2 linked regions of the Rattus norvegicus genome follow. The protein of the gene in region 1 interacts with the protein of each later gene in a biochemical or structural test. Links are inferred from orthologs where the notes say so. Each region holds a gene or a part of one and is shown in the gene's direction. Other genes may lie near its edges.

Evidence for each region.
Region 2: the proteins of Cfh (region 1) and Crp form a complex in vitro, tested with the Homo sapiens proteins (12 studies listed by BioGRID and IntAct, with this or other methods). The link is inferred for Rattus norvegicus from reciprocal best matches to the Homo sapiens genes CFH and CRP.

Annotation. Positions count from the first base shown.
Region 1 is NC_086031.1:54,155,915-54,171,910, reverse strand, and holds the start of Cfh (complement factor H precursor), read left to right. Parts: upstream 1-7,387; 5' UTR 7,388-7,436; coding exon 7,437-7,494; intron 7,495-15,996. UniProt on the Homo sapiens protein: Glycoprotein that plays an essential role in maintaining a well-balanced immune response by modulating complement activation.
Region 2 is NC_086031.1:87,687,474-87,703,285, forward strand, and holds Crp (C-reactive protein precursor), read left to right. Parts: upstream 1-6,588; 5' UTR 6,589-6,700; coding exon 6,701-6,764; intron 6,765-6,982; coding exon 6,983-7,611; 3' UTR 7,612-8,505; downstream 8,506-15,812. UniProt on the Homo sapiens protein: Displays several functions associated with host defense: it promotes agglutination, bacterial capsular swelling, phagocytosis and complement fixation through its calcium-dependent binding to phosphorylcholine.

The DNA of each region.
Region 1 (15,996 bases):
AAAGAAGAAAATCAATTTCTTTCTTTTTTTTAAATTTAGTTTTTTAGTTATTCACTTGACATTCTGCTCACTGAGCCCTCCTGGTAACTCCTTCCAACGATCTTTCCCCCATCCCTCCTCCCCTTCTCTTTGGAGCAAGTGGGGTCCCCCTTAGAATACCCCTGGCACTCCAACTCTCTGAGAGGCTAGGTACTTCTCTCCCACTCTGGACAGACAAGGCAGCCTAGCTAGAAGAACATATCCTACTGATATGCAACAGCTTTTGAGAAAACCTCCATTCCATATGTTCAGGCTTCATCTGAAGTTGAAGCTTCACATCTGCTATATATGAATGGGGAGGTCTAGGTCCAGCTCCTATATGCTTTTTGCTTGGTGGTTCAGCTTCTCAGAGCCCCCAAGGGTCGAGGTTAGCTGACTGTGTTGGTCTTCCTATGGAGTTCCTATCCTTTTCAGGGCCTGCATTCCTTCCTCCTATTCTTTAGAGAGTCTCCAAGCTCCATTAACCGTTTGACTGTGAGTATCTGTATCTGTTTGAAGCAGATGCTAGGTGGAGCTTATCAGAAAAAAACATGCTCCCATTTATAAGCATAACAGAATACCATTAATAATGTTATGATGCTTGCCCATGGAATGGGTCTCAAGTTGGGCTGGTTGTTAGTTGCCCATTCCCTCAGTCTCTGCTCCACTCCACTACTGATTCATGAACTGAATCGCTGATATCCTGACAGACAATGGAGATTGGATTTGTTCCAACGAACTATATCTAAATAGGTCCACATCCTCCTTTGCCTTGTTAACCTTTTTCCCCACTACCTCTGGTGGATGTTGGGCTAGAAGGGAGGTTAAAACATTTAAAACCCTTATTAAAAGTAGCTTTTCAAAAATATAAGCCTACAAGACTCTGGAGGTTGACCTGAATGCATTTTGTACTAAGAGATGTCCATGAGTCTATGGCAGTCAGTATGAAATATGAAGGTGCTTCAACTCCCATGCTGGCCTGGATGTCATTGCTCTATTGCTGTGAAGACTTCTTTCGGAGATTCATGGCAATTTCTGTGTTGAAATCCCCTAAAAGGTGAAATGATAACAAACCTTACACACAAACTTTGGTTTTCTATTGCATGGAAAAGAGAACACCTTCATTTTACAATTTAGTATATTTAAAGGTTAGAGTGAGGTTACTGAACTACTGAGAGTGTCTGGTGAGTGAGGATTCATCTAGCAATTTAGATGTGCTAGGACTCAGAACTGCCTATGAATATATTTCCACAAGACACAACTGAAGGCATCTTTCTTCTGATCCTCAAATTGTCTGGCGGTTTTCCACAGAGATATCTGAAACTAGGGGGAAGATTTACTGAGTCACAGGTTATTCTTAAATTTGCTCTTGATTTTAGAACAGAGGCAGAAGGAACACTCATTCAGAGCCTGCCCCACATGTGGCCCATACATATACAGCCACCAAACTAGATAAGATGGATGAAGCAAAGAAGTGCAGGCCGACAGGAGCCGGATGTAGATCTCTCCTGAGAGACGCACCCAGAATACAGCAAATACAGAGGCGAATGCCAGCAGCAAACCACTGAACTGAGAACAGGACCCCCGTTGAAGGAATCAGAGAAAGAACTGGAAGAGCTTGAAGGGCTCGAGACCCCATATGAACAACAATGCCAAGCAACCAGAGCTTCCAGGGACTAAGCCACTACCTAAAGACTATACATGGACTGACCCTGGACTCTGACCCCATAGGTAGCAATGAATATCCTAGTAAGATCACCAGTGGAAGGGGAAGCCCTGGGTCCTGCTAAGACTGAACCCCCAGTGAATGTGATTGTTGCGGGGAGGGCGGCAATGGGGGGAGGATGGGGAGGGGAAGCCCATATAGAAGGGGAGGGGGAGGGGCTAGGGGGATATTGGCCCGGAAACCGGGAAGGGGAATAACAATCGAAATGTAAATAAGAAATACTCAAGTTAATAAAGATAAAAAATTTTGCCCTTGATGAATGCATTGTTAGCCTTTTGTGTAGAAACTTCAGGGCTCTCTTCAACCCATGTGCTTATGGACCACACTAAATTTCAAGAACCACACGGAGAGAAAAACTGACTTTAGGTACTGTCAGAACTTGGACCTTCTAAGTCCAAGTGCAGAGTCAGCTTCCACGTAGTAGGATATGTACAGTCAGACATGATACTTTCTCCATGTGGTTGTTATACAAACTGACAACATGACCACTCCAAAGTATGATTAAGTAGAAAGTTTTTATTGTAGATATAAAGGAAGAGAAGCTCCAGTGGCAGCTGGAAGAGTTTAGAGCAAGCAAAGAAGGTAGCAGACTGAAATGGATATGGCCATCAAACTTGACTTGACTGTGAGAGGAAAGATGGAGAGAATGAGAAGATAGGAAGAGAGAAGGGGCTAAGAGAGAGGAGCAAAAAGAGAGACCTACGAGAGGAAGGCAAAAGAGAGCACGTAGCCAAATATAACAGGGCTATAAGGAGAAATGAGAAGTTGCAGAGAGAAAAACCATGAACTGAAGAAATTCAGGCTAAGGAGCGTGGGGTGAAGAGCCAGGATGCCAGCACAGATTCTGAAATACATAACAGGTACTCGTTATACTGAGGGAACCTGAAGGCTAGAATGTGCTTTGGTGTGCTAAGGGGCACCACAGATAGCCATTTCTACCTACTGTGAGTGAGAGGGAAGTCTGGCACTGTTAGGGAAGAAAGGCTTATAAGTTCCTTTGGAATGATGGCTTTTGTCTAACCACCAGCATTTGGATCTGATAATTTCCTGTCTGGGTGTTTCTGTGAGTCTTTCACATAGACACAAGTGTGTGTGTGCTCTTTTTGTCGTATCCCTTATGTGTATTAGCAGTTATCTGTGCATTCTGCTGCAGTCAAATGTTCAGGTCAGATTTCCATATTATGCAACATTGTGGCATTCTAACTCAAAATTTTTCTTCTTTTTACCAAGAGGTATTCTGAAGACTAGGGATCAGAAGTCAGTCCAATGACACTTATACTAGGTCACAAGAATGAGCCATGTAGGAACCATTGCCTCTACCATGCCTAGCACACACTCTCTCTCTGTGTATGTGTATGTGTGTGTGTGTGTGTGTGTGTGTGTGTGCATGTGCCTGTGCCTGTGACTGTGTGTGTGTGTGTGTGCATGTGCCTGTGCCTGTGACTGTGTGTGTGTGTGTGTGTGTGTGTGTATACATATATGTCTTCCTGCCACAGATGCAGTTGACTGTTGACAAGTAGAGAATTTACTGTTGACAATAGAGAATTTCCTATATGATGTATGTCATGGACTTTGGGATTCTTGTCTAGTTGAACTATCAATTTCTTAAGAATGTTTCTGCTGTTGATTGTGGTTTTGAGTTTCTGCCCCATTCCTGACTCCTTTGGTTTCTACACTTTCCTCTTTTTGCAGGGGAACAGTATAACAGTATGCATCATCCTCATTTTACATCTTGTTCACTCCCTCCCTTCCTCCTCATCTCTCCTTCCTTCCCTCCCTTTCTGCCTCCCTCTCTTCTGTTACTACAAACTCATCATAGCTATCTAGACACTGTTTTTGTTCTAAACTTTGGTTCCCACTTTCTGCAGTTTCCCTTATTCTGCACTGGGAGCAGAACACTTGAACTTCAGGGATGGACTCTGGACTATCTCACTTTTTGCTATGGTTTCTAATTTTTTTCTTTATTTGTGACTTAATTTCAATGTCATGACCAAAGGGAATGGAAGACAAATGAATAGCTGTGTTTGCCTTTTAGCATTCCAAAGTACATGTTAGTTTCTAGGCTTACTCAATATTTGTGGCTCCCCTCAGCTCTTCTCAATTTTCCCCCTATCCTAAACTCCAGGTCATTGGCTTTCCTTCTGCTACTCATTCATATAAAACCATGTCATTTCAGCCATACATGCTTTTGGCTGTCTCTTGGCTCTTAGGTATCTCTTAGTTCTCTTGGTCCCTCTCTTTTGGTCCTCCTCTCATACTCTCCTCATCTCTCTTCTCATGGTTCAGTCTTCTGGTCATGTCCACTCTACTACTTTCTTTCCTTCCTCTCAATTCTCACTCATGAGCTATTTACTGTCTTGGATGCATGATGGTTAGCTACCATCTACTCTCTCCTTAATTAACTTCAAATTAAATAAGAGCTTGTAGCTGTTGTTGTGTACATTAATTCACAAATCATAACTAAGACAGTTCTCTTCAAAACATTGGTTATATGTAACATTTTTCCTTATAACATGCCCTTAGGTACTGCTGTACTTTTTATGTTTAATCAATTGTTACTCAGAACAACTAAATCAATCAAGGTATCACTAAATTATACAATAGTGCCACTGACATCACAAGAGTAATCAGTAGCAAACTGGTATTAAGTCTGAATCAAAAGGAGGGAATCCCTGCCTGTTACTGCAAATCAAGCCAGGAATAATGACTAGAAGATGGCTTAGAAGAAAACTTATTACTGCTACTTTGCTAAATTAATGCAGATTCTAACTATATTCTAAATATTTGTTCCTAAATACCCATAGACAAGTTCAGCTTTCACCCCTCATCAAAAAAGCTTCTCTTTTACAGCAGAGAGAGGCTTTCACAGAGACACACAACTGCTCAACATGCAAAAATTGTGGAATTATCAGTATTATTGATACCCATACAATGCAAACTCTATGCCTAAGTCTCAAGGAATATCCCATAAGAGGTCAGAAATATTTGTAAAGTCCAGAGAATCAGGAGACCTATTTTGAGATGGTGTCTTTTAGAAAAGATTGGATTGGTGTTCCTATACATTTAACAATATGGTTGCCTAAACTTCCCAAGATGACACCAGATCAGGACAATGTAAACTGGGGAAATTTCACAAGGCCCTATAACTAGATGAAGAGTTAAGGTATTTGATGGCTGTGGCAATTACTTGTCGTCAAGGACCAATTTTCTGATAGGTTTTTCTAATCCTAAGAGGTCTCACGCACATATATATGTAGCAACATTAATTAGACTCAGCAGATTGCTAGTGTTCACATATATACACATCTGTATATGTACAGGACAATAATTATAGAGGAAGAAGACAAGAGTTGGAGGTGAGAAAGGTGTAGATATTCAAGTAAAGTGTATTCATGTATGAAATTAACGATTTAATTAATTAAATTTTAAAATTAAGATAAAAAGTCTTAAGTAGGTAAAAGATGACTTGTTATAAACTATAAGTTTAAAATTGGTAAGTAAAAATAAAAAAAAGAACAATTGTGGGTGTAAATTGTACATGTTACCGAGTGTCTTCAGCATTGCTGTCTCTTGAATACCACTGTGAATTTCACAGCTGAGTACTTCCAGACCCTTTATCTGTTTCTAAATACTAGCTTAGCCTATTAAAGGGTATCTTGTCCCATTTTAAATGTCTAAGTAAATATGTAATTTCCCAGGCCACAGCCATCAGAGATAATACTCAGCATATTTTTCATGAGATACGTTGTATAATTATCTTTCCAAAGGTACTCGGATAATAATAAAATAGATTTTGAACCTGTAAACAATGATGAGTAAGAAAGTTAAAAAATAACAAACTATGGATATTATTTACATAATAAGACACATGCTACTTTAACTTTTGCATTTTTTGGCTATCTACATTTTTGATTATTTTATTATAAGCTTCAATTTTATTATAGCTGAACTAACAATAAAAAATAAAAATGTCTTCTATCAGTTTTTATTAATATTTGTATCTTGTTAGCAAAATGATAGAAAAGTCATTACAAGTTCATCATGATTTGTATTGCCTATAAGTTTTTATTATTGCCAAATTTTTGAAAACTTCTGTCAAATTTCTTTGATAAAATGATGAGCATTTCAGGGTATTAAGCTCTTGTGACATGATTAATATTAAGCACTCTGAAGTGAGGGTTTGTAAATTGTTCTGATATTAATGTCTTCCATGTGGAGGGGTCCTAGACTGAAGAAAAAACAGAGTGAACCTTGCAACATTCATCATTGCTTTCCGTAGCAGGACTGGTGTTGCCATGTGCCCAGACGTTCCTGGGGCTGTTCTTCCCTGATTGACAGGCTCTCTCTGGGAACTGTGAGCAGAAATAAATCTTTCCTTCCCTTAACTGCTTTCTCAGGTATCTTGTCACATCCACTGACAAGCAACTACTACAATGAGTTATTAGAAGTTGAATTCCTACACATTTAACAAAATAGGAAGCAAGTCATCAGAAAATGCCAATCTGCATAGATTTGGGATATTAGACCATTGGGTTGAGTATCTCACTCCTGAAAGTTCTTATGGACTTAAGAAAATGCTTAAATGCTCTGTTCTCAGCTAATTTATCTATATGCTTGAGCTAGAGCAGTTAGCAAACCCTACACTGTATCACATTAGTGGTCCTACTTGTACTATTTTCTAGCTGGAATCTGTCATTAACATGCACATGAATAACTAAAAATTGTGCTGTATGTATTCAAACTATTGAATATTACATAGAAAGAAAAATGAACAATATGGAGTCATCTCCAGCAGATGAAGTTCTCAGTGAAGGACTCTACATAAACAAAGGAGTAAATTGCTTCCTCCACACTTACACAAAGTTCAGGTATATAAGGTCCATGTTCTTGGAGACACTGACAGTAGGTGGAAATCTGGAGGGCACAGAGGGGTTACCAAGGCTAGCAAGTTGGGAGTTGAGTATTGGCCTGGGTTCAACATCAATTCAGCATATTACAGACACTTTTTCACACCTCTGCTTTCTTATTATACAATACCGTAACTAGAAGCTAGAAAATTAGCATGTCAAATTGATGGATCTTTTGAGTTATTCATTCATAGCCAACGAGACACAGACCAGTTGCCTCACACATATAAAAAGAATTTCTTGGGAGACTCATTTCATGAATTTTAGAAAAACCAATCCCATAATCACCATCCCTCAGCATGACAGTCTTGACAACATTTCTGTACTATGCAGGGTGTTGGTCGTAAAAACACTGCCTAACGGAAGTTCCCTCAATGGTTTTTAAATTCGCCTTCATTGCTTTCTGTTCTGTGGTTTGTACACAGTAGAACACAGTTTCAAGGATTATGAAATCCAGCCCCTGCTCACATTTCCAGAAACGTGAACTTGTTTCCAAGCAAAACAAGCTGTGATTTACAAGAACAGCCCAGCAGGTCACAGACAGGGCGCAGTAACAGATGAGATCAAACGCCTATGCTGCTGGACTTGTGGTCTATCCTTTTAGTTTACTTTGCAGAAGTCGCTCATGGGTGGAGCATCTAGAAATCCTGATTTCCTAAACTAACTTTCAACTTCCCTTTGGGGCAAGTCTGTCTCTGCTGTAACCACAGTTCATAGCAGAGAGGAACTGGATGGTACAGCACATACTTCTCTTCGAGTCAACTGCTCCCAGATAGATCCAAGACATGAGACTGTCAGCAAGAATTATTTGGCTTATATTATGGACTGTTTGTGTAGCAGAAGGTAAGCTTAAAACCACCACCTTTCTCCCTTCTGACTGAGCCGCATTATAAAACATTTGCTGATAATATTTCTCATAGCAATTATTCAAATTAAGTCTAGAAAATGTGGGTAATTACTAGTCTGTAACTGAATGGCTTTTGGTGGTAAGTTTAAAAACCGTGAACCTTTCACTTGACTATTGTAATTGATAGTTCAGCTTGATGTAAAACTCAAGACAGTGCTTTAAACATGTTTTTGCAATCCATAATTAGGCATAGACATTTAACTTGTAGTTATCAGGAAATACAGGCTCCTCTTTTTCTCATGAGTGTCCCTGAAGTACTATATGTAAAACTAGTTAGAAATATATAAATATCCAAAGTCAATGAAAGCACTTACTTTTTTCTTTAAATGGGTGGATCGATTTCAGGCTTATTTCTAAACCTTCCTAACTACATCACTTAGCTGATATTTCCATGGTTTTAAAAGTTTCGTATGTAAGACCTTCAAGTATGAGATAAAAAGAAAATAAAATTTGACATGTAACCTGCATTGGACGGATCTGATTTGTTTCTGGTTTTGTTTTCTGTGAATACGTGTGGGGCATGTTTGTTTCTGAAGCCATTTTGAAGTAGGTAATGTGACTGTCGGAGTTCTTTCATGACAATAACAGGGTCTGACTTTATTATTCACTTAAATTCTCCCAAGACTGCTTAGTTTATCCAATGAAAGAGCTTTGCTTTCCCAGTTTAGGAAGGGTACCTAGTTGTGGGATAAACATTTAATCAACTCTTCTTTGTGTTTTGATTGTTTAAGATAGGGTGTCACTACACCCTTGAGCTCACTGTAGTCCTCTTGTCAGCAGCTTCCTATGGGCTGAGGTTACCAGTGAGAGTGACTGCCATGCCTGACTTAGCACTTTTTATATAAAGTGAATGACATAACTTTAATAACTTCCTTAAATGTTTCTCTTAGCCAATGCATTGTAATTTGAAGCTTTGCTGTAACCACTACTCAGTAAAGAATACTAAAATTATCCTCTGACTGGATGTTTACCAACCCACATAAGAAGAGTAGATATGGTTTCTCAGTTGTATCTTTTACTAAAATTCTGAAAAAAAAATTTAAGGGTATTTTATACTTTTTGAAAGAGTAAACATTTTCAATTATATTTTTTAATGTTATTCCTTGAATTTTAGCTTAAGAGTCTTGTATTCAGATGCCTTATAGACTAAGGCAGTCATTTCCTTGTATATGAAAATATAAGTATTGCTGAAATGAAATGTGATTATATTGGCCAGGAATTCTAAAGCAATGTTGATATTACCAAGCATAACTAAACTTTTTATTTTGTTAAAGGCAATGTTTTCATCGCTTATTTTAGTGTTCTACTTGAATAATAATGTTTACTAAGAGGTTTTTAAAGATATATAAGATTAAAGAAAGAACTATTTTATGTTTAGCTAACTTTTAAGTCTTAATTGATATAAATCGAATTAAGGTGTCTACACAATTACAAAGCAGAATTTCAATATTAAAAAGGAAGTGCCGCGATGTTTGCGTGATACTTTAACGCTAATGATTTAAAAATCCTCATTTATGCCATGGATGTCAGCTGATTTTTTTGTTATTGCTGGATTTGAATTTTCATCAGTATGTATTCAAATGTGGTGCCAGTTCTTGCTGATGAGGTGGGCAGTTACACTGTGTCCGATACTGTTTCACAGGGATTTTCCTTTCATTCACAGATGAAAAGAGAGTTTAGTTTCTAAATCATTATGTAGGGTAACCTCATGGTCTCCACAAAATGAATGTAAACAGATGGGAGAAGTTTCATGGATTTTCAGTGGACACAGTACTCCCACTTTAGTCTTAGCTTGGCTGGTGACCCGTGTCTATCTCAAATGTAAACAATTTAATCAGTCTATCAACTTAAGAGGAATTTCAGCAGAAGAGCTTGGATCAATTAAAACAATTATGTATATGCTGCAATGTTTGCTCCTGTTTCTATTCTATTAGATGCTGGCTACTAAGCTGATTTAAAAAAAAAAAGTTTGTGAAATGCTCTCATATTAGGCTTTCTGAAACAGGGAAGAAAAGATTTCATAAGTATTTTCTGCCCTGATAAAGATCAACATTCATCTAAAACCAATGTTAGCTGGGCCAGCAGGAACGGTAAACACAATAATGATCTTGCTTGGCAAAGAACCTGGCTACTTGAGTTCAATTCATGGGCCCCACCTGGTGAAAGGGGGAAAAAAAGCCTCCTACAGACTGTCCTCCAGTTTCCTCATACAGGCATGGCAACTGTATGTTACACCCACTCAAATTAAAAGAAAATAATAACCATAACAAAAAATTTAAACTCCACTATTAATAATTAAAGAATAATAACCAAAAGAAGAACTATGAACCCAGCTTGTTTGCCTCCCTCCCTCCGTGCCCCTCTCTCTCTCTCTCTCTCTCTCTCTCTCTCTCTGTCTCCCTCCCTCCCTCCCTCTCTCTCTCTCTCTCTCTCTCTCTCTCTCTCTCTCTCTCTGTCTCCCTCCCTCCCTCCCTCCCTCTCTCTCTCTCTCTCTCTCTCTCTCTGTCTCCCTCCCTCCCTCCCTCCCTCCCTCTCTCTCTCTCTCTCTCTCTCTCTCTCTGTCCCCCCCCTCTCCTTTTCCCCTTTTCTACTTGCCAAGGGCTTTCTCATATCTTTTTAGTGCAGTGCTTGACTGTATTCACACTTCTAGCTGCCAAGAACAGTCAATGGTGCTTCCTGCAAAACCACACGCTGATCAGAATTGGGTCAGATTTACAGGACAACCTGTAACATAAGAGAGTTCCTTGGTTGAGCCGTATAATTTCAGTTCTGGGGAATGGATTATACCCAAGCTTTCCAAGCATTTTACTCTCACAATTGAATATTGTATGAAATTAGGCCGCAGCCCAGGATTGCTGAAATGAACCAATTAAACCTGTGCTGAAACAAAACCAAATAACCACTGCGTGCTTTCTGGGGAGATAAGTGTTTTCTAATCCTGGAGGTTTAAAGGACAAAAAGGTCCTTTCAGGCTTAGAGACTTTAATCATAGAATGGAGAATTGGTTTAATTCTATAATGTTTTAAGTATATGATTTTTTCAAACTTAGTTTAACATTGATGTGGAAAAATTGATGTTATATACATTAATTATGAGTTAATAATAGTTGCTTTGGGGGAAATTTAGAGAAAAGTTAATTATTCTTTTATGTAAAATGATATTATATTATGTCAAAAAGTCAAGTGATTCAATGTAAGATATTTATACTTTTCCTTAAGAAAAAGAATTAATATGGAGTGTGTCTTACTTTTCCCTTCACTCTGTGTCCAAAGTTGAAAGCAGCTGATTCTGCAGCGTTCACCACATCTTAACTATAAACCATGTCTACAGCTTTTCCTTTGGCCTTAGCCATATTGAATATGAAGGTTTCACATGTCCCAAGTGACTGAATGAAGACGGATGCAGCAAGTTGCAATACAGAAGTGATATGTGCGTCACTGTGTATGTATTGTCACATACAGTACTGCATACACAGAGTTCTGTCAGTAGTATCACTGCTGTCCTTTGTCTTCAATTACTTTAGTTCTTCGAGATAGAGTCCCCCTGTTTGGCCCATGCTGGTCCTTAAACTCCTAGTCTTCTGGCCTTAGCCTCCCTAGTACTGAAATTCAATATCAAGAATATCTTATGCAGATTTTCTGTTGCTTTCATTCAACTAAATTGACAGCAATAGCTGGACCTTCCTTAGAAAAATGGAAAAATATTTAAATATCAAAACCTTCTAAAGAAGCAACCTATAGTTCTCTTTTTCTAGACAGAAAATAAAAAAAAATCCAAAAAGTAAAGGTCAACTTTAAAACATACATATAAGTAATATTATATATACTGATCATGTTATATTTAGAAATATATATGTATATGCATATATGCATATAATTATAGTTATGAAAATAAGTAGTCATGGGGTGAAAGAAAGTAAAGGAGATAGGTGGGCAGTATTGGAGAGACAAGAGGAAAGGGGAAATGATGTAATTAGATTATAATCTAAAAAATATAAAAGAAATAAGAATAAAAAAGAAATGGAAATTTTGGTGGTAAACTAAAAAATAACGTGTGGATTTACAAAGAGAAAATACATGTCTGCATGTCTTCAATGCTTTCATTGACACAGAAAACCAATTTCGGTATCTTGCTTTTATGCTCCTTTATCACAGCAAAAATTTATAAACATGTCACAGGACAAACCGGGACTTTTAAACCTTTCTTGTATTTCAAATTATAATAAATATTTGGATTTATTGCTGCAGTCTCTACTGTGAGCATAATGTTTACTTTCTTTCTTTTTTTAAAATCATAATGTTTTCAAAGCCAGAAGACATCTGAAAACTCTGAAGTTGACTATCTTTGGTATTTCTTTGGCTTTCTTGTTTGGGACAAAACTGAAGGAATTCACAATGTCAACCAAACCACCTATTGCCATTAATAGTACCTACTTGCAAAGTCCTAAGTTTCCATTAACCAAACAGCACAAACCGAATCCATTGCAGTTGTTTCGTTTCTCCCATTGAGGAAAAAAAAACAACATCCTCGTAGCCTCCCTTTTCTGAACCTTGAAATTGGAACAGTAATCTTTTTCACACACACCATGGAGGCAGTGCATAGATAGATCCCCACATTTCTTTAAGGAAAGTGGTTGGATTGAATAATCAGGTGTGGGACAGAGATGTCAACATTGAAATTCTTCCTTGAGTTTGAATTTTGAGAAGAGTCTAAAAGAGGTCAGGTTGAAAGAACTTGCATCCTGTTTGATAAGGTTCTTCACACAGTCTAGCATATTTATTAAGCTTCTCGGTTGTACTCTCCCAGGCCCCAGAGGTCAGAGGTCCATGTATGCCACCTTCTATCACACTTGCTTAAATCCACCCTAGTAGATGCACATGAGTATTAGAGATCATTATGTAAACTAGACACTAGGGCACTACTAGTTTATTACCTAAATTAGGCATTAATGTCAGTGGAGCAAGTAACCTCTATCCCTACAACACATGTTTTCAGGATAGAATTATATTTCCCTAAATCATGTTACTTGGCATTGTGCCCCAATTGTCTTCAGTGTCTTCTTTCATGCAACTCTTAAAGTATTTGACATGTTTATCGTACCACAAACTCAACCAACCTGTTATTTATGTGTAAGGGACCACATAGTTAAATTTAGTGCTATTATGTGTAATTTACTGTGAAATTTCACTGATAGAGGATAGAACTGGAAAATGGTAAGGGACAAAATAGACCAAAGACATTCTGAGACAGGAAGCTTCCTAGGATGAAATGCTGTAACAGGTGACAAAGGGTGGAGAAGTTGCTCGCAGGCAGGGTGAAGGTGGTCAGTGAAAACAAGCCTTGCTTATCATCAGCACAGTCATGTTCTAGGAATGTGCATGCCCTTTGCCAGGATGCTATTTAAAACTAAACCATTTAAGTAGTGCAAAGCGGAATTTTTCTAAGGTAGGAACTGCCACAGAGTAAATAGTCTGCCTCTTTGTCCTTAGATTGCTCAATTTTGAACTCTCTCTCCCCTTCCAAATTAATCCATGTTTATTTCCTGACTCTGATTGTTAGTCTTTACTTCCTCCTTCTCTCTCTCCTTCCCTCACTCTCTCCCTCAGCCCTCCCTCCTTCCTCTCTCTCTCTCTCTCTCTCTCTCTCTCTCTCTCTCCACACACACACACACACACACACACACACACACACACACACACACACACACACACACTACCTCTACCTCTCGACATTTAGGCAGATGCTGTCCACCAAATCCTCAAACGCTCAGTTGACTGATGTTAACTTTAGCTTTTCTCAGAGCACAAAACATGAAAAACAGATAAAGTAATTGGGAAAAAAAATGTTACTTTTTTTTTTTGGTTTAAAATTAGAAGAAAAAAAAAGTCTGGTTCAGATAAAGTCAAGCAACTAAACAGAAAAAAATTCCAACCGTGAAATAATAAAAAGAACACACGGATTTGACAGAACACTTTTGTTTTGACATTTTCACTTAGAAAGTCTAGTTTCTCACAGAGTGTTAACTGGAAATGGGATAGATAGAGGACGATTATAGAAACACCCCTTCAAAGGTTCCGAGGGAACTTTTATACTTCGAGCTAAATTCAAGTGACTCTAGACTTCAAAAACCGCAACATAGACAGATGTGCAAACTCTGTAGAGAACTTTCAGTGCATGCAACAGGCATTCAACTCCACCAGACAGTGGTGCTCTTGCCACTGCCTCCTCCTCCTTTTCCTCCTCTTTTTTTTCCCTCAAGTTGTCTCTTTCTTTTCCTTTTTCCAAGTCTTGTCTTTTAAGTTTCCCATTTGCCACTCTCAGCTGTTGGTGGCCCTATTGACTATATGGGTGTACACTGTGGGAAAGTTCCTACAGTCTTTTTTGCGTTCGCTCTCTCCTCTATTCACAATCCCTTTTGAATAACTTTTAAGTACTGCGCAATATAATACTTTCCAAAAGGTTGTCATTTAGTGGAGAGGAAAAGAATGAACAGTGTATTGAAATATTCACATACAGTAGCTCATCTTATAAACTATTATGACTCAGATTTTAAAAAGTTCCTAAAGCAGAAAACTGAAGTTGAAAAGATGTGCTGTATACACAAAATGAATTTTTGTTCAGCTACAAAAAATTATGAAATTTATAGGAAAAATTGATGAATTCAGACTCACAGGGAGACAAACTCTGCATGCTCTCCTTCACATTTTGATTCTAGTTTTTAATACATATACTTTATATATACTGCATATATCTTTGTTTAATATGACGTGTGTGTGTGTGTGTGTGTGTGTGTGTGTGTGTGTGTGTGACTTATGGATAGAAGACATGGAACTAGAAGTGGAAAAAGAACCGTGGAGGAAGGGAACCATGAAAAACACAAGTGGATTGACCAAGACAGAGGAGGGAGACAGGGTAGAAAGGTGAAGAGAAGAAAATAAAACTGTTTTTACAAGTCATAAAAAAGGCTGGATATGGTGGCACACCATAGTCCCTGTATGAGGGAAGAAAATACAGGGCAGTTCTCTAAGTTCAAGGCCAGCTTAATCTACAAAGTGAATTCGAGGACAGTCAGGCCTACACGAAAAACTATGTCTTGGAAGAAAAAAATGCCTCACTATAATATAATATAAAATATAATATAATACTTCATATATTAACTTAAAAAATAACATGAAATAATAATTGGAATGGGAAAATGGGTCAGGAACAGGAGAGGGTGAGGGTGACGGTAACTGGATACAGATGTTCTGCTGACTTAGTTCTATGTTGTTTCTCTGAGAAAAGTCAGACAAAGCTCTCAATTCACAATCTTCTCTCTCCAGTATGCTCAAAGGACAGGCATGGAGCCTCAAGTAGATAGGCTACGGATGCTGCATAGGAGTTAGTCAGAAAGACCAAAGAGGATGTTAACAGAAAAACATCAGATATACAGAAAGAACTATAGGTTCTATAAAGCTGTGGGGCTCATCTCCACACCTACAACTTAACTTGGCTTAAGTTTCACAAGGATTAGTGGGAGGTTAGGAAAGAAAAAGTTTTCCCTTTTATTTATTTTTGTTTTGTTTTGTTTTTGATTTTTTTAATTTATATTTCAAATATTATCCCCTTTCCTGGTTTCCCTTTCATAAACCCCCTACTTTATCATTTTATCCCCCTGCCCCTTCTTCTATGAGGGTGTTCAGCCACCCAACCACACACACCTTCCCGCCTCCCCTCTCTGACATTCCCCTACACTAGGGGGGTCCAGCCTTGGCAGGACCCAGGGGTTCTCCTTTCACTGGTGGCCAACAAGGCCATCTTCTGCCACATATGCAGCTGGAGCCATAGGTCTGTCTGTGCATACTCTTTGGATGGTGGTTTAGTCCCTGGGAGCTCTGGTTGGTTGGTATTGTTGTTTTTATGGGGTTACAAACCCCTTCAGCTCCTTGAATCCTTTCTCTAACTCCTCCAATGGGGACCCCATTCTCAGTTCAATGGTTGGCTGCTAGCATCCTCTGTATTTGTCATGCTCTGGCAGAGTCTCTCATGAGACAGCTATATTAGGCTCCTGTCAGCATGCACTTCTTGACCTCAGCAATATTGTCGAGTTTGGTGTCTGTATGTATATGGGCTGGATCCCCAGTTGGGACAGGTTCTGAATGGCCATTTCTTCAGACTTTGCTCCAAATTTTGTCTCCCTATCTCCTCCTATGAATGTTTTTGTTCCCCCTTTCAAGAAGAACTGAAGCATCCGCATTTTGGTCGTCTTTCTTGAGTTTCATGGTGGTCTATGGATTGTATTTTGGGTAAGCTGGGCTTTTGGGTTAATATTCACTTTTCAGTGAGTGCATACCAGGTGTGTGTGTGTGTGTGTGTGTGTGTGTGTGTGTGTGTGTGTGTGTGTATGTGTGTGTGTGGTTGGGTTACCTCACTCAGGATGATATTTTCTAGTTCCATCC
Region 2 (15,812 bases), about 34 Mb from region 1:
ACGCTCTACCACTCATTTCCAGTATCCTTTAGGGTGTGCGAGCGCAGTTTCGCAGTAGCCCTTCTCTGCATGTTTTCGGTTATGATCTATTCCACTGATGTATGCTTCCTGCTTTCTGGATTTTATAGAATTCATTCTCCTTTCTGCCGATGAAACTCCTTTCTTCCCCTGGCACCATATTGATCTACTTTTCAAAAACATATTTTCCATCATTTGTAGGAACTGAGGTGGGAAGAGGATATTGGCATCTGTGTTCAGTCCCCCCCTGCTTATATTTGTCTTCTATGATTCCTCTGTGACTTCTTCCTCCAGTTACGTCTTCATCCATTTGCTCTACAATCTACCGACAATGTGCCAACTCTGGGTCAGGCTTGGACTCAGTTGTCTCTTAAGAGGATAGTACAGATATAAACGATCCTCACCATGCATCTCTACATAGATACAGGCTGATATGAATATTTCTTAAGGGGTGGATTTCTATAGGTAAATTCATCTTATCTAGGAGGGCAGTTTATATCTTTATCAATTGGTTATGAGTTTATTGTGCAGATGTATTGTGGATTGAGAATTTAACAAATAAATCTGATTTTTGGGTTGCAACAACAACAAAAGAGAGGATAGTACTGTTATCCATAAGTAAAAGGGTGTGATTTTTTTCTCATTTTTCATAAGAGGCATATGCAGTCTTATTTGTATGAGTCAATTCGCATATTTATTTTTTTATTTTGCCTTGGTGGCCCAGCTTGGGCTAGACACTAATCACCAATAAGTGAAAGCCACTGATCTAGGTGTGACCCAACAATCTGTTTTGGCCCCACTTGCATAATGCTTGATATGTAAGTGATAGAAGTCTTCATACATTGCTCTCTGATGACTCTGCATTTAGTCAGGTTTCCATTCTCCTCAGTGGTTCCAGCACGTCTCTCAAGTCTGTCTCCCCTGAGATCTTAACTGCTCCTGCCTAGTTCTGACCCTTGTCACATTTACCTTAACTTGTTTGGCTAATGGCTTAGTCCATGGTCTTTAGAGCAGTTCATAACATTTGTCGTGGTGAAATTGATGTAAAGTCCATTAAGTCTATGAATTTATAATCTCTCTCACCTTGATACAACCTTTATATTTTCTTCCATTAAAATTTAGAAACACTCATCCAAGTATATAATTTCCTTATTTAGAACCTTATTTATAAACCTTCAAACTCAATTGCTTAAAGTAAAATGGCCTTAGAAGCAATATTTTTATAGATTATTTTATTAGGCAGTTTGTACAAGTAGTAGAATTAGTATAGTAATACATTATGAGCACAAATGCAATAATTTTCTGGTTAAGCTGATAATTCTACTGGTGACTAGGAAGTGGGAAATATGGCTTTATTCATGACTTAATTAGGTCAATGGGGTGAATAAAACAATGAATTGTTACAATCTATAGAATTTTGACTGGCAGAACAATAAAGATTTGGAGTATAAATATATTGATTTACAAAAAATGAACTACTGTGGTTAGAGGGGTTCAAACAAAAATCTGAAGTTTGTGTATGGTAGTAGAAAATAAAGTTTGAAAGCTGATAAACAACTTCAGCAAAGTGGCTGGGTATAAAATTAACTCAAATAAATCAGTTGCCTTCCTCTATACAAAAGAGAAACAAGCCTAGAAAGAAATTAGGGAAACGACACCCTTCATAATAGACCCAAATAATATAAAGTACCTCGGTGTGACTTTAACAAAGCAAGTAAAAGATCTGTACAATAAGAACTTCAAGACACTGAAGAAGGAAATTGAAGAAGACCTCAGAAGATGGAAAGATCTCCCATGCTCATGGATTGGCAGGATTAATATAGTAAAAATGCCCATTTTACCAAAAGCGATCTACAGATTCAATGCAATCCCCATCAAAATACCAATCCAATTCTTCAAAGAGTTAGACAGAACAATTTGCAAATTCATCTGGAATAACAAAAAACCCAGGATAGCTAAAGCTATCCTCAACAATAAAAGGACTTCAGGGGGAATCACTATCCCTGAACTCAAGCAGTATTACAGAGCAATAGCGATAAAAACTGCATGGTATTGGTACAGAGACAGACAGATAGACCAATGGAATAGAATTGAAGACCCAGAAATGAACCCACACACATATGGTCACTTGATTTTTGACAAAGGAGCCAAAACCATCCAATGGAAAAAAGATAGCATTTTCAGCAAATGGTGCTGGTTCAACTGGAGGTCAACATGTAGAAGAATGCAGATCGATCCATGCTTATCACCCTGTACAAAGCTTAAGTCCAAGTGGATCAAGGACCTCCACATCAAAGCAGACACACTCAAACTAATAGAAGAAAAACTAGGGAAGCATCTGGAACACATGGGCACTGGAAAAAATTTCCTGAACAAAACACCAATGGCTTACGCTCTAAGATCAAGAATCGACAAATGGGATCTCATAAAACTGCAAAGCTTCTGTAAGGCAAAGGACACTGTGGTTAGGACAAATCGGCAACCAACAGATTGGGAAAAGATCTTTACCAATCCTACAACAGATAGAGGCCTTATATCCAAAATATACAAAGAACTCAAGAAGTTAGACCGCAGGGAAACAAATAACCCTATTAAAAAATGGGGCTCAGAGCTAAACAAAGAATTCACAGCTGAGGAATGCCGAATGGCTGAGAAACACCTAAAGAAATGTTCAACATCTTTAGTCATAAGGGAAATGCAAATCAAAACAACCCTGAGATTTCACCTCACACCAGTGAGAATGGCTAAGATCAAAAACTCAGATGACAGCAGATGCTGGCGAGGATGCGGAGAAAGAGGAACACTCCTCCATTGTTGGTGGGGTTGCAAACTGGTACAACCATTCTGGAAATCAGTCTGGAGGATCCTCAGAAAATTGGACATTGAACTGCCTGAGGATCCAGCTATACCTCTCTTGGGCATATACCCAAAAGATGCCCCAACATATAAAAAAGACACGTGCTCCACTATGTTCATTGCAGCCTTATTTATAATAGCCAGAAGCTGGAAAGAACCCAGATGCCCTTCAACAGAGGAATGGATACAGAAAATGTGGTACATCTACACAATGGAATATTACTCAGCTATCAAAAACAACGACTTTATGAAATTCGTAGGCAAATGGTTGGAACTGGAAAACATCATCCTGAGTGAGCTAACCCAATCACAGAAAGACATACATGGTATGCACTCATTGATAAGTGGCTATTAGTCCAAATGCTTGATTACCCTAGATGCCTAGAACAAATGAAACTCAAGACGGATTATCAAAACGTGAATGCTTCACTCCTTCTTTAAAAGGGGAACAAGAATACCCTTGGCAGGGAAGAGAGAGGCAAAGATTAAAACAGAGACTGAAGGAACACCCATTCAGAGCCTGCCCCACATGTGGCCCATACATATACAGCCACCCGATTAGACAAGATGGATGAAGCAAAGAAGTGCAGGCCGACAGGAGCTGGATGTAGATCGCTCCTGAGAGACACAGCCAGAATACAGCAAATACAGAGGCGAATGCCAGCAGCAAACCACTGAACTGAGAACGGGACCCCCGTTGAAGGAATCAGAGAAAGAACTGGAAGAGCTTGAAGGGGCTCGAGACCCCATATGTACAACAATGCCAAGCAACCAGAGCTTCCAGGGACTAAGCCACTAACTAAAGACTATACATGGACTGACCCTGGACTCTGACCTCATAGGTAGCAATGAATATCCTAGTAAGAGCACCAGTGGAAGGGGAAGCCCTGGGTCCTGCTAAGACTGAACCCCCAGTGAACTAGACTGGTGGGGGGAGGGCGGCAATGGGGGGAGGGTTGGGAGGGGAACACCCATAAGGAAGGGGAGGGGGGAGGGGGATGTTTGCCCGGATACCGGGAAAGGGAATAACACTCGAAATGTATATAAGAAATACTCAAGTTAATAAAAAAAAAAAAAAAGAAAATAAAGTTTGGAGGTTGGTAAATATGTTATATTATTCCCTTAGTCTCTATGATGGTTAATTTTAATTTTCAACTTAATACAATCTAGAATCTCCTGGGAAGAGAGTCTCAGTAAAGGATTGTCTAGATCAAGTTGATCTGTGGGAGTTGGGTGATCTTAACTTAGGTGGGAAGGCTGCCCACTGTGAGTGGCACAATTCCCTAGGCAGGGGATACTGAACTGCATGAGAATGGAGAAGTGAGCTGAGAACAAGCATGTGTGCATCCATTGTTCTGTTTTTGATTATGGTTGTGATATAATCAATTCCCTCAAGCTCTTGTCTCTCTTCTCTGTTATGATGGACTGTAACTTGGAACTGTGAACTAAAATAAATCCTTTCTCCCCTAAGTTGGTTTTGTCAGCCATTTTATATCATAGCAACAGGAAAGGAAGATAAGACATTCTTGAATCTCTTACTTCAGTTTTTGTGGCTCAGTTTAAATGCTGTTTCCATGTAAAAGGTTTCCTATGTAAAGATACCAGGATGTTTCAGGGCAGGAGATGGCCAGTATGAAACCATGGTCTTTGGTTCAAGGATTGCTACAAAGGTGTTTCTATTTTCTTAAGCTCTTCGAGATGTGTAAATATCACAAACCAACTGCAATATGTAAATTAAGACAAAGGGATTTGTGAATAACCTACTTTTGAAGATCAGAGTTCAGTAAGGGCACTTGTAACAGATAAGTTCAGAGACTCGATGTGATTGTTTCTCATAATTGGGAGTCAAAATTGGAGTGGAGGGGCCAGAAATCACTTCTTAAGGCCTTTACATTTGTTCATTTTAAAAACAACGTTTAAAAATTCTAGAAAGAGTTAAGAACTGTGCCGAATGTCAGGTGTTGTATAAGATTAAAAAAAAAACCCAGAAAAAAAATCGGTTATTGGGAGAGAGGGAGAGAGAGAAAGAGAGAGAGTGTTGTTGTTTTCTTCTTCAGTGATTGATGTCAGAACCAGAAATCCTTGAGTTAAGGAGGGAGATTGGAACAATGGAGGTCTTGGTTACAAATAACCTTTCTATCTTCCTTCTTTTTCCCTTTGTCTTTCTCTTCTTTCTCTAAAATGCAATGTTTATTATAGTTTTGGCGTTTGGGGAAATGATAGAATGAAGGTGAAATTAATGATGCGTAAAGCAGAAAGAAACACTTGGTGGCAACATTCATTGGGTGTTGGGCCATCTGGGCCTGTTACAAAGGTGCAAGTTTGACCTTAGATGCATTGTGCAACTGTTTATTTCTTATGAGGAGTCAGAAAAGCAGGTAGATTTTATGATGGAAAGATACAGAGTGGTAGCAACCAAGCTTCAATATGAGAATGACCAATTTTCAGCGACTTAACAAAATATAAGTTTGCATATTCTTCAAGAAAATATTTGGGTAGATGATATTTAAGGGTTGAAACAATGGCTCTATGATAACATTTACTGGTGCAACCTATTTTTTTTTTCTTTTTTTTCGGAGCTGGGGACCGAACCCAGGGCCTTGCGCTTGCTAGGCAAGCGCTCTACCACTGAGCTAAATCCCCAACCCCCGGTTCAACCTATTAAGTTGCTGTGCCAGCCTCTACTTGCAGCTTGTTATGGGGAAGATGGGGAAGGTGATTGCTCTCTCTCTCTCTCTCTCATCAGCCCCCACCAGAAGGCAAGAAAGGAATGAAAGGGAAGTCATGAATCTTTACTGTAAAGGTGCAGCCTAGAGAGTGTCTCTTTTCTGACCTGTAGCTGAGGCTGAGAAATCTAGTAGTCTTGGGTAGGATGAGAATGCATCCATCTTAAAACGGAATTACTGAATGAATGGCTCTCTGCTTCAGGGGATACAGTATTTTTCCCTCTAATTTCTCAATTAGAGGGTGACTCATAAATGGAATGAAAGAATGAATGAGATTGTGAGGGATTCAGGAACAAGGTGAAGGAGCACGGTATTCAACTAGAAGACTCAGGTAAGCAGAAAACTGCTTAACTGTTAGGCAGTGTGGAGGGACCACTTAGATTCTGGACAAAAGAAGCAAATGTTAACCATTCTGAATTCTCCCTGATGCTTCCACATTAAAAAAAAGAAAAAATAAAAACCAAATCAACAAACAAACAAAAACCCAGTCCGTTTCACGAGATTGAGCCATAGTACATTTGGGATAGGACAGGTGTTCTCTTCAGTCAAAGGTCTCTGATAAGTCTGTGCAGTTGGCCAGGGAAAGTTTGTTCTTGGTTCTGGGAATGGAATACTTGTTTTCTTCATTTCCCAGTATGGGAAGGAGCAGCTTCCAGAAGAGGTTAGCAGACCCTGGGGATTCAACCATCGCATGCACACTCATGAGCGCTCATCTATTAAGCTAAAATTTCCCATTATTTTCTCAATATAGATAGGCAAAATGGAGCCTTGGGAAGGTTTCTCATTTTTCCTGTCACACAGAAACTGGTGATTCAGGGGTCACAGGAGTTTGCAATAAATAACCCACATCGATTTCTCTGTTCTAGAATGTTTTTTTTTTTTTTTTTTTTTTTTTGCTTCCCTTCCTCCCAGTGGTCTGATGTTTACCCCAAGAGGCAGTGTTAGGAAATCATTTACAAAGTGGTTCAGCCTCTCCATCTGCTACAGTTATAAATCTAAGGATGGGCTGTGCCTGAGGCAGGGGATCCAGGACTTCTTGCCCTTGATCTTTCAGACAGAGCTCTGTCCTCTTAGTCCGGATCCCAGCAGAGTCGACAGCCATGGAGAAGCTACTATGGTGTCTTCTGATCACGATAAGCTTCTCTCAGGCTTTTGGTCATGAAGGTAGGAGCTATTATAAAGTTTTTTTTTTCCCTAGGGGAGGACGATGGGAGCCTAATATTTTACATGAGGAATTCAAGGATCAGGATCAGGTATAGCTGTGTTCCATAAGGAACCTGGGAGAGGGTCAGATGTCTCTTGATCCCAAACCCTACTTGTAAGGGAGGATACGTCTTCATTATCTGAGAAACTACTCACTTTGTTGGTTTTCTGTCTCACAGACATGTCTAAACAGGCCTTCGTATTTCCCGGAGTGTCAGCTACTGCCTATGTGTCCCTGGAAGCAGAGTCAAAGAAGCCACTGGAAGCCTTCACTGTGTGTCTCTATGCCCACGCTGATGTGAGCCGAAGCTTCAGCATCTTCTCTTACGCTACCAAGACGAGCTTTAACGAGATTCTTCTGTTTTGGACTAGGGGTCAAGGGTTTAGTATTGCAGTAGGTGGGCCTGAAATACTGTTCAGTGCTTCAGAAATTCCTGAGGTACCAACACACATCTGTGCCACCTGGGAGTCTGCTACAGGAATTGTAGAGCTTTGGCTTGACGGGAAACCCAGGGTGCGGAAAAGTCTGCAGAAGGGCTACATTGTGGGGACAAATGCAAGCATCATCTTGGGGCAGGAGCAGGACTCGTATGGCGGTGGCTTTGACGCGAATCAGTCTTTGGTGGGAGACATTGGAGATGTGAACATGTGGGACTTTGTGCTATCTCCAGAACAGATCAATGCAGTCTATGTTGGTAGGGTATTCAGCCCCAATGTTTTGAACTGGCGGGCACTGAAGTATGAAACACACGGTGATGTGTTTATCAAGCCGCAGCTGTGGCCCTTGACTGACTGTTGTGAGTCCTGAGGCACCTCCTGGGATTACATTCTCTCCCTTGTCCCTCCTTATGAACCTTTTAACCCCAGCAGATGTTGTAGATCTGTTTTGTGAATATGGCCTTTCACTTCTCTGCTCTGTGGTCCTCAGCACTAGAGCATGGAATTTAAATGTAAGGCTTCCAGCATGTGCATCCCACTACTCTTTATCAAAGAGAACCTGACTTACCCACGGTGTGTGTATGTGTATTTAATTAAAAAATTTTTAGACATAATCCTTCTCCCTCACACAGATGAGAAACCAGATGCACAGAAAGGAGAATAATTTTTTATTGTTTTTGTTTCAGAATGTCATATTGAATGGTGTACTTATATCCTTTCTATCCCTCCCTCTTCAAATCCTCTACTATCCCCCCCAATTCTCCCTCGAATTCATGATGTCTTATAATTAGCCTTATATGCACATACACATCTATCTATCTATCTATCTATCTATCTATCTATCTATCTATCCATCCATCCATCCATCCATCCATCCATCCATCCATCTATCTATCTATCTATCTATCTATCTATCTATCATCTATCAGTAATCCATCTTACTGATTACATTTAGTGTTTCTTGTATTTTGTTGAACACTTGAGACTGGATAATCTATCAGGAGGTCTATCCCTGAAGAAAACGGATTGTCCTTTTCTCAGCAGCTGATTACCTCTAGCTCTTCATATATGGGTGTGGCTTTGTGAAATGTTTCTGTCCATGTTGCATGTCAACTGGAATCATTGTGCAAGTCTTTTTTTGGGCAACCCAGAGTGATGGAGCACTGACTACACTGTGCTCAGAATCAGTTCTTTTCTGGAATAAAACCTGTACTTGAACTTTCCAGATTCATGAATCAATAAAGTTACCTTTGGCTTGAACAAATTTGAGCAGTTTCATGACTAACTTTATTATTGACCCTCTGAAATCAAGACTCTAACTTCAGGCTGACTGGCACTGTCTTGCCGAAGCATATCCCAGCCACCCTACCCTCTGCTGCTGGAATCTTTTGTGATGAGTCTCTCTGAGGTGGACAGCCCTACTTTGGAGATAGCTGGTCATTCACGGGGTTCAGGTGTGGGCTTCTGATACTCTCCCTTTTAGAATTCCAGTTTGAGAACAAAATTCTAAAGACCTTTGAGAGTCATGTATCTGGAGTCAAGTCCAGTGATGGAAAGCATTTGTTTCAGTCTGTTTGGCTGCTTTATAGAAACAGACCCCTCAATGTTTCTGGCTTTTCCCAGAGGCATCCTTTATCATGGTTTTTCTGGACTGGGTAAACAATAAAGTCATTCCATAAGGTTTTATTGAGGGTTGGAGAAGGGGCTCCTTCAATCATTATTTTAGGGAAGGCATAGGCTAGAATGGTTAAATTTAAAGGTTCTAGAATCAGGTTGATGTCCTGGTTTTATATCTTACAATTATGTGACCTCTTTGAACTCAGTTTTCTTACCTCTAAGTAAAGAGAAATAATTTCACTCATTTAAAGGTCATTGTAAGAGGTGGATATGATTACATAAACAGTAAGCTCTTGTAAGAATCACCCTCCGTTACTATTAGTTGATTTTATACTACATGCCTAAATGTTACACACCCTGAAAATAGTGCTGTTGGAGTTTTGTCTAGGTTGGCAGCATGTGTGTTTCTGATTTGCTAAGAATTCAGTTCAGATCATTAGGTGGACGAACAGAGTGTCTTTGAAGAAATTATTTATGAATATCGATTTCCCTAATTGACCTTTGATAACCATTTAGAATCACAAGAGTTAGGGAAATATATTCTTAGGCAAAAATGCAAGTGAAGATAATTCTCCATTGTCCAATTAGGGCAGATCCATATACCCTGACACTCAGCTAAGTGGGAGAGAGGGGTGATGCTCTTTTCAAGTTAACGAATCTAACCAGGAGATATGTCTTAATTATAGAAGGCCGTCCCAATTCCTCAGGGATGTGGGATGAGCTAATATGTTCTTCAGAATTCAATTATGGGTACCTTGTACACACAGTCTAGTGGAGAGCCTCTGGCCTGATAATTTTATCCAGGGAATTTTTAACAGGTAGTATTTGCATTCGGCGTGGATTAAAAAAATCTTAATAAATACTTCTATAGTGCTTAAACTTAAGCAATTTACCTCTCTAGCAGATACCTTGATGTAATATTCTTAGAAAATGTATTCCTAGGTACCTGGTGAATTGTCCTAATATATGAAGTTGTTAGATGTAATCTAATAAAACCATGTCTGCTGAGAATGATTTTGATTTGGGAATGTTGGTGCTGGTATTTTTTATTTTTTATTTTTTTGTAAGTAGGTAATACCAACCTTCTATGTTGGTCACTCTAAGTGGTATTGGCAATGCTGTGTCATTGCACTGGGCTTTTCAGGGATCATGCATCAAACTTATCCCGGAACCTTAAAGAGCAAGTTAGAAACACAGGGAGCCCCTGCTCTACTTAAACCTTGATATTAAAACTAGGCAGTGGCTAGGAAGATGGCTCAGTTGGTAAAGCACTTGTCTTGCAAGCTCGAGGACCTGAGTTTAGTACCGAGAGCCTACACAAAGTTGCCTGGCATGGTGGTCCATGTTTGTAATCCCAACACTGGGGAGGTAGGAAGAAGAGAACCAAGGAGGCTAAATGGCTAGTCAATCTGACCTAAGTTGGCGAACCAGATTAATGGAAGACTGTTTCAAAATATGTAGATGATGTTCCTGATGATGATCCTTGAGATTGTTTTCTGGCTTCTACACACATGTGTGAATACATGCACACACAACTGCACATAGATATGCGCGCACACACACACACACACACACACACACACACACACACACACATACACACACACGTGCACTTAAAACCAAGGCAAAAATATTATGCCTTGTTTACAAGAAAGTTAAGTGGACTTATTTAGAATTTCTTTTTATACAGAAAATGGAGACTTCTAGTTCTAATCTTTAGGCAAGGCCTGAAGAGACGTCATAGTTCATTTACAGGCTAGATCCAGAGGATTGAGCCATAGCACAGGTCAGAGCACCCAAGGGTGGTTAACTACGCACACAGCTTTCTTTTGTAATTGAAAATTGACATTTGGTACAAAGGTTAGGCCTAACCCTGGCCCAAATGGCAGCCTCTAAGCAGCAGATGCGACACGGTGCTGTACTGTCAGGAGCCAACATAGGAGAAGCTAAAAACTAGCAGGTGATCTTCCTGATACAGTTCAGAAGCCTGGCACATCCCTGTGTCAGGTAGAAATACTGTATTACTGCTCATGAAAGAGGCTTTGCATGTTCTCCAATAAGAGCCGTCATGATGATGTCACAGTTAAGTCTGGGAGTTTTGTAGGTGCAGATGAGTCTGTGAGGACCCATGCCTTTGGTAAGATCTGGTCTATCTAGAGCCTGGAAGATGGACTACAGATCTCTCCAAAGGTGGAGATAGGGTCTGACAGACAGATTCGTAACGCAAGTTGACAAAGTAAGGAGAATATTAAATTTGTGAATCTTTGCCCTGTGTTTTTTTGCTGTCTCCAATTTTATTGTGTTGCAGGAAAGTCAAGCTTAACACAAGGAAAGCAAGTGATTCCAGGTTATTAATAAAAAACAACAGAACGTCACCCACAACAAGTTTTAAAGACATAGTTTTGGTCCCTAGAGTCCCCTGAAAAGAAAGTGATGCTTTGATTTCTAAGTACCTCCATCCCAAGATAACTCCCCTCTTGCCTCTGATAGGTTGGTCTGGTGACCTGCAAAGATTCTTCCCTTCCGTTTCCGGTCTCTATCTCACCTGTGGATATCTGTTCGTTTCACCTGGACCAGAAAATAAATTAAGTGGGCTTATTTGTTTTTTTTTTTTTCCTACAGAAATGGAGGCTTCTAGTTTAATTTCCCTGGATACCTGGCCCAGTGATACACTGTAGTCTCCTAATATGGAAATCATTACCTCTGGGGTGTTGATCATGTGTTCAGAATCATTGACTTGGGAACTGCTAGGCCAGGCTCTATGCCCAGTGTGTTTACAGAACTAGTCTTATCTGGTGGGCATTCTTAGCTCCCATTAAGCCTCAAGGCAGGTGGTTGTATTCAAAGATGGATTTAAGTCCTCCTGGCCCAATTTTGTTATGTGAACACAAATATCCCATCCTACAGACATAATGTCCCATCAAGGTTCTGAGGGTGCCAGCTACCTAATCCCAGGGAAGATTATCTCATACTGTTTAAAAGTACCCTATACTTTTTCTTAAAGATTTATTTATTTTTGTCTTATGTACATCGGTGTATTGGCTGCATATAACTGGAGTAATAGACAGTTGTGAGCTGCCATGGAGGTGCTGGGAATTGAACGCGGGTCCTCTGGGAGAGCAGTCAGTGCTCTTAACCACTGAGCCAGTTCTTTAGCCTCACTAATTTTTTTTAAAAATTATTTTATTTTTGAAATTAAATATAATTACATCTTTCCCCTCTTTCCTCCATCTAACCCTTCCCATGCATCTCCCCTTGCTTGGTCTGATACGTGTGGACTATATTTCTTTAATTATGGCTACACACACACACACACACACACACACACACACACACACACACACGGGAACAAAAAAAATACTACACAGTATGTTTAAGGGCTGGCCACTTGATATTGGAGAACCAACTGTGTGCTTTTTCCTGGGGAACATTATTCTCCACTGTCCCCACTCTCAGCATTCCTTAGTTACCTGTAGTTCTTTGTCTAGGGTTGAGGCCTCATGCGTTTTTCCCTTCAGTGTTAGCACATCTATTGGTGTCACCCTTGTTCAGGTCTCGTTTAGGTAGCAGTGTTGATGGGACTTCATAATGGAGGCAGTGTGTGTGTGTGTGTGTGTGTGTGTGTGTGTGTGTGTGTGTGTGTGTAGATTGTAAGAGCTACAGCGACAAGGAGTTTCCTGTGAGCTCATCTCCCAGAAATGAAGCTAAAAGTGCCTTATTCTGATCTGAGCTTTTATTGTATACTAGACACTGAGGCCTTTAAACACACTTGTTTGGAGATTTTGTAAAGATTCGTTTTAGAGTACTTACTTTCTCTCTTTTAATATATATATATATATATATATATATATATATATATATATATATATATGTATGAACACCTATGTATTCATTCTTCTCTCATATATTACATCCCGACCACAGCTTCCTCTCCCTTCACTCCTCCCAGCCTTCCCCAGATCCTTCAGAAAAGAGCAGGCCTCCCAGATACATTAACCCAACACAGCATAACACATTACAGTAAGACTAGGCACAAACTCTCGTATCAAGGTTGGACCAGGCAAACCGGTAGGAGGGAAAAGGTACCAAGAGCAGGTGAAAGGGTCAGAGACATGCCACACTCCCGTTGTAAGGAGTCCCACAAAATAAATCATAATATATATGCAGAGGCCTTAGCTCAGACCCATGAAGGCGCCATGATTGTAGTTTCCATCTCTGAGAGCCCCTTCGAGCTCTCCTTAGTTGATTTTGAGGGGCGTGTTCTCCTGATGGATTGTAGGAGCCAGAGTACTTACCTTTTTTATATTTATTTATTTATTTATTTATTTATTTATTTATTTATTTATTTATTTATTTTAGGCTTGGAACTCACTACATAGATTAAGTTGGCCTCAAACTCACAGAGATTTTCCTGCTTTTTTTTTTTTTTTCTCTCTCTGAGTTAAAGGTATGTGCCATCATGCCCGGCTAATTTTTGTTTTATATGTAAAGAAACCAAGGTCTGAGGAGGTTAATCAATTTTCTTAGCCTCTGACTACTCATGGCTTATCCCCTGCCCTTGTGCCCACAGTGGAAGGAGAGTGGGGTATGGGGATAAGTGTCTTTCTTTAGGGAGCCCCCATACTTAATTTTTGTTTTTCTTGAGACAGGGTATTTTGCATCCTAAGCCTCAGTATCACAGTATAACCAAGGATGACCGTTAACTTCTGATTTCTGGGGTTACAGGTGTATGTGGTACTTTACCTTGATTGGTGCTGGGTATCAAGCTTGAGAGCCTGTGCAAGGCAAGCACTCTTGCTAGTCAAGCTAGACCCCCATTCTAAGTCTTGTTCTTATCTATCCAGCCTCAATGTTAAGACAGCATTAGGCTGACTATACTCATGGCACACTGTTAAATTCTTCTCCAACCTGGAATACCCACTCTCTGCCCCAGATTATCAATGCCTCAGACAACGCCTTACCATGAAGCCTTCTCCACAGACACAGAATGGTGGAGACTTCCATACCAGTAGATCTCAACTCTAGGTGCCAGCTAGAGTTACCTGGCCAGCTTTCAAAGACCTAACAGCCAAGGCTTCACCCAGATCATGACACTAGAGTCTCCGGTGACGAGACCCAGGTGCCGATGTTTATAAATTTGCTCAAATAATTCCAGTGTGTAGCGAAGTCGTCCACTGTGGAGGATGGGGTACCGCTATTCTTGTCGATTGGTGGCTTTGAGAAGATTCCAGGGGTCTAGGAATTCTAGGCTGCTCCAGGATCAAATAAAGTGACAGCCAGGTGTTTTTCATGTTATTTATTCAATAAAGCTGCACAGAATTGACAAACATCCTGCCTTGCCTCAGGGTGTTTTTCTTTTCCCGAAGACTGTTACTCAGATTGCTGCACTTTGGGGTGTTTCTCTCATCTACAGAGGCTTTAAATCAGGGAGAATCCTACATGCCAAGGTGTCTAGGAAAGCTCAGATCCTTACATATTTTTTATGAATCATCACAAACTCTAAGGAAAAGAGAGGAGGTTCCTGCCGACCTGCCCGAGGGAAGGGTCAGGTCACATTGGAGGCTGATTTATTGTACCCGACGCTCCCTGAAATGATTCCAACAGTTACAGAGCTGTGTCAGCAGCTGCTGGGAACCAGCAGGGATTGTTAACTGGTTCACAGGGACTCTCTCTCTCTCTCTCTCTCTCTCTCTCTCTCTCTCTCTCTCTCTCTCTCTTTCTCTCTCTCTCCCTCCCTCCCTCCCTCCCTTCCTCCCCCTTTCATTTTAAAGGTTTGTTCAGCATATCCATTTTGGAGGTAGTTCAAATTTTGGAGGTGTTGTGGATTCCATGAAATCAATAATTTTTCCAGCATCCATTCCCAGTGTTGGAGGCTGTATTTTATTGACTTGTCTGCAGAGCCCAGATGTTAATAATAAAGCAATTTCCACACTGGGAAAACATATTTTTTTTGTTCAAGTATTATTTTCCATAAAATCCTTTTCTGTTTTCATAATGTATATCTCTTTTATTGGGCAAGTGGGCAAAAAGAGAGGAAGGGCTAAATTTCTGAAGCAATTACACCAAGCCAGTCACATCTTTTTAAAAAAAATCTGGTGTAAGAAGTCCTTTGGAAAGGACAATTTAAAAAGAAAATTTAACGATTCACTATTAAAAAGAAACCATTCTATAAGCAGACTACTATTTTTATAGTGATTTTTTTTTGGTTGTGTGGTTGGAATATGTTAATCAACATCTGAATTTTTTAGTCAGTCAATGGAGAAATGCTACCAATTCCTCATTGAATATCAATGAAAAACTGTGATGAGACCATGATAAATTAGTTTGATTCATTTTTTTTTTTGGTTCTTTTTTTCGGAGCTGGGGACCGAACCCAGGGCCTTGTGCTTCCTAGGTAAGCGCTCTAACCACTGAGCTAAATCCCCAGCCCCTTGATTCATTTTTTTACATGATCTCACAATCCTTTAGAATGGAATTTACATATTTTAAAATACTTTTATGCCTGTATCTTTTTTTTTTTTATTAACTTGAGTATTTCTTATATACATTTCGAGTGTTATTCCCTTTTCCAGTTTCCGGGCAAACATCCCCCTCCCCCCTCCCCTTCTTTATGGGTGTTCCCCTCCCCATCCTCCCCCCCTTGCCGCCCTCCCCCCAACAATCTAGTCCACTGGGGGTTCAGTCTTAGCAGGACCCAGGGCTTCCCCTTCCACTGGTGCTCTTACTAGGATATTCATTTTATGCCTGTATCTTAAGGATGCTGTCTCGCTGATGCTATTCTCTGGTTTAGTCAATCGGGTGCAAAGTCAAATAAATGTCCGTCCAGACTGGGATTCTTACTCATAAAACGAAACACTAGTTTCTGGAGCCTCGAGGACTCTCATCTGCATTCCCTCTTTCCGCGATTCTAATTACATGCACACACACACACACACACACACACACACACACACA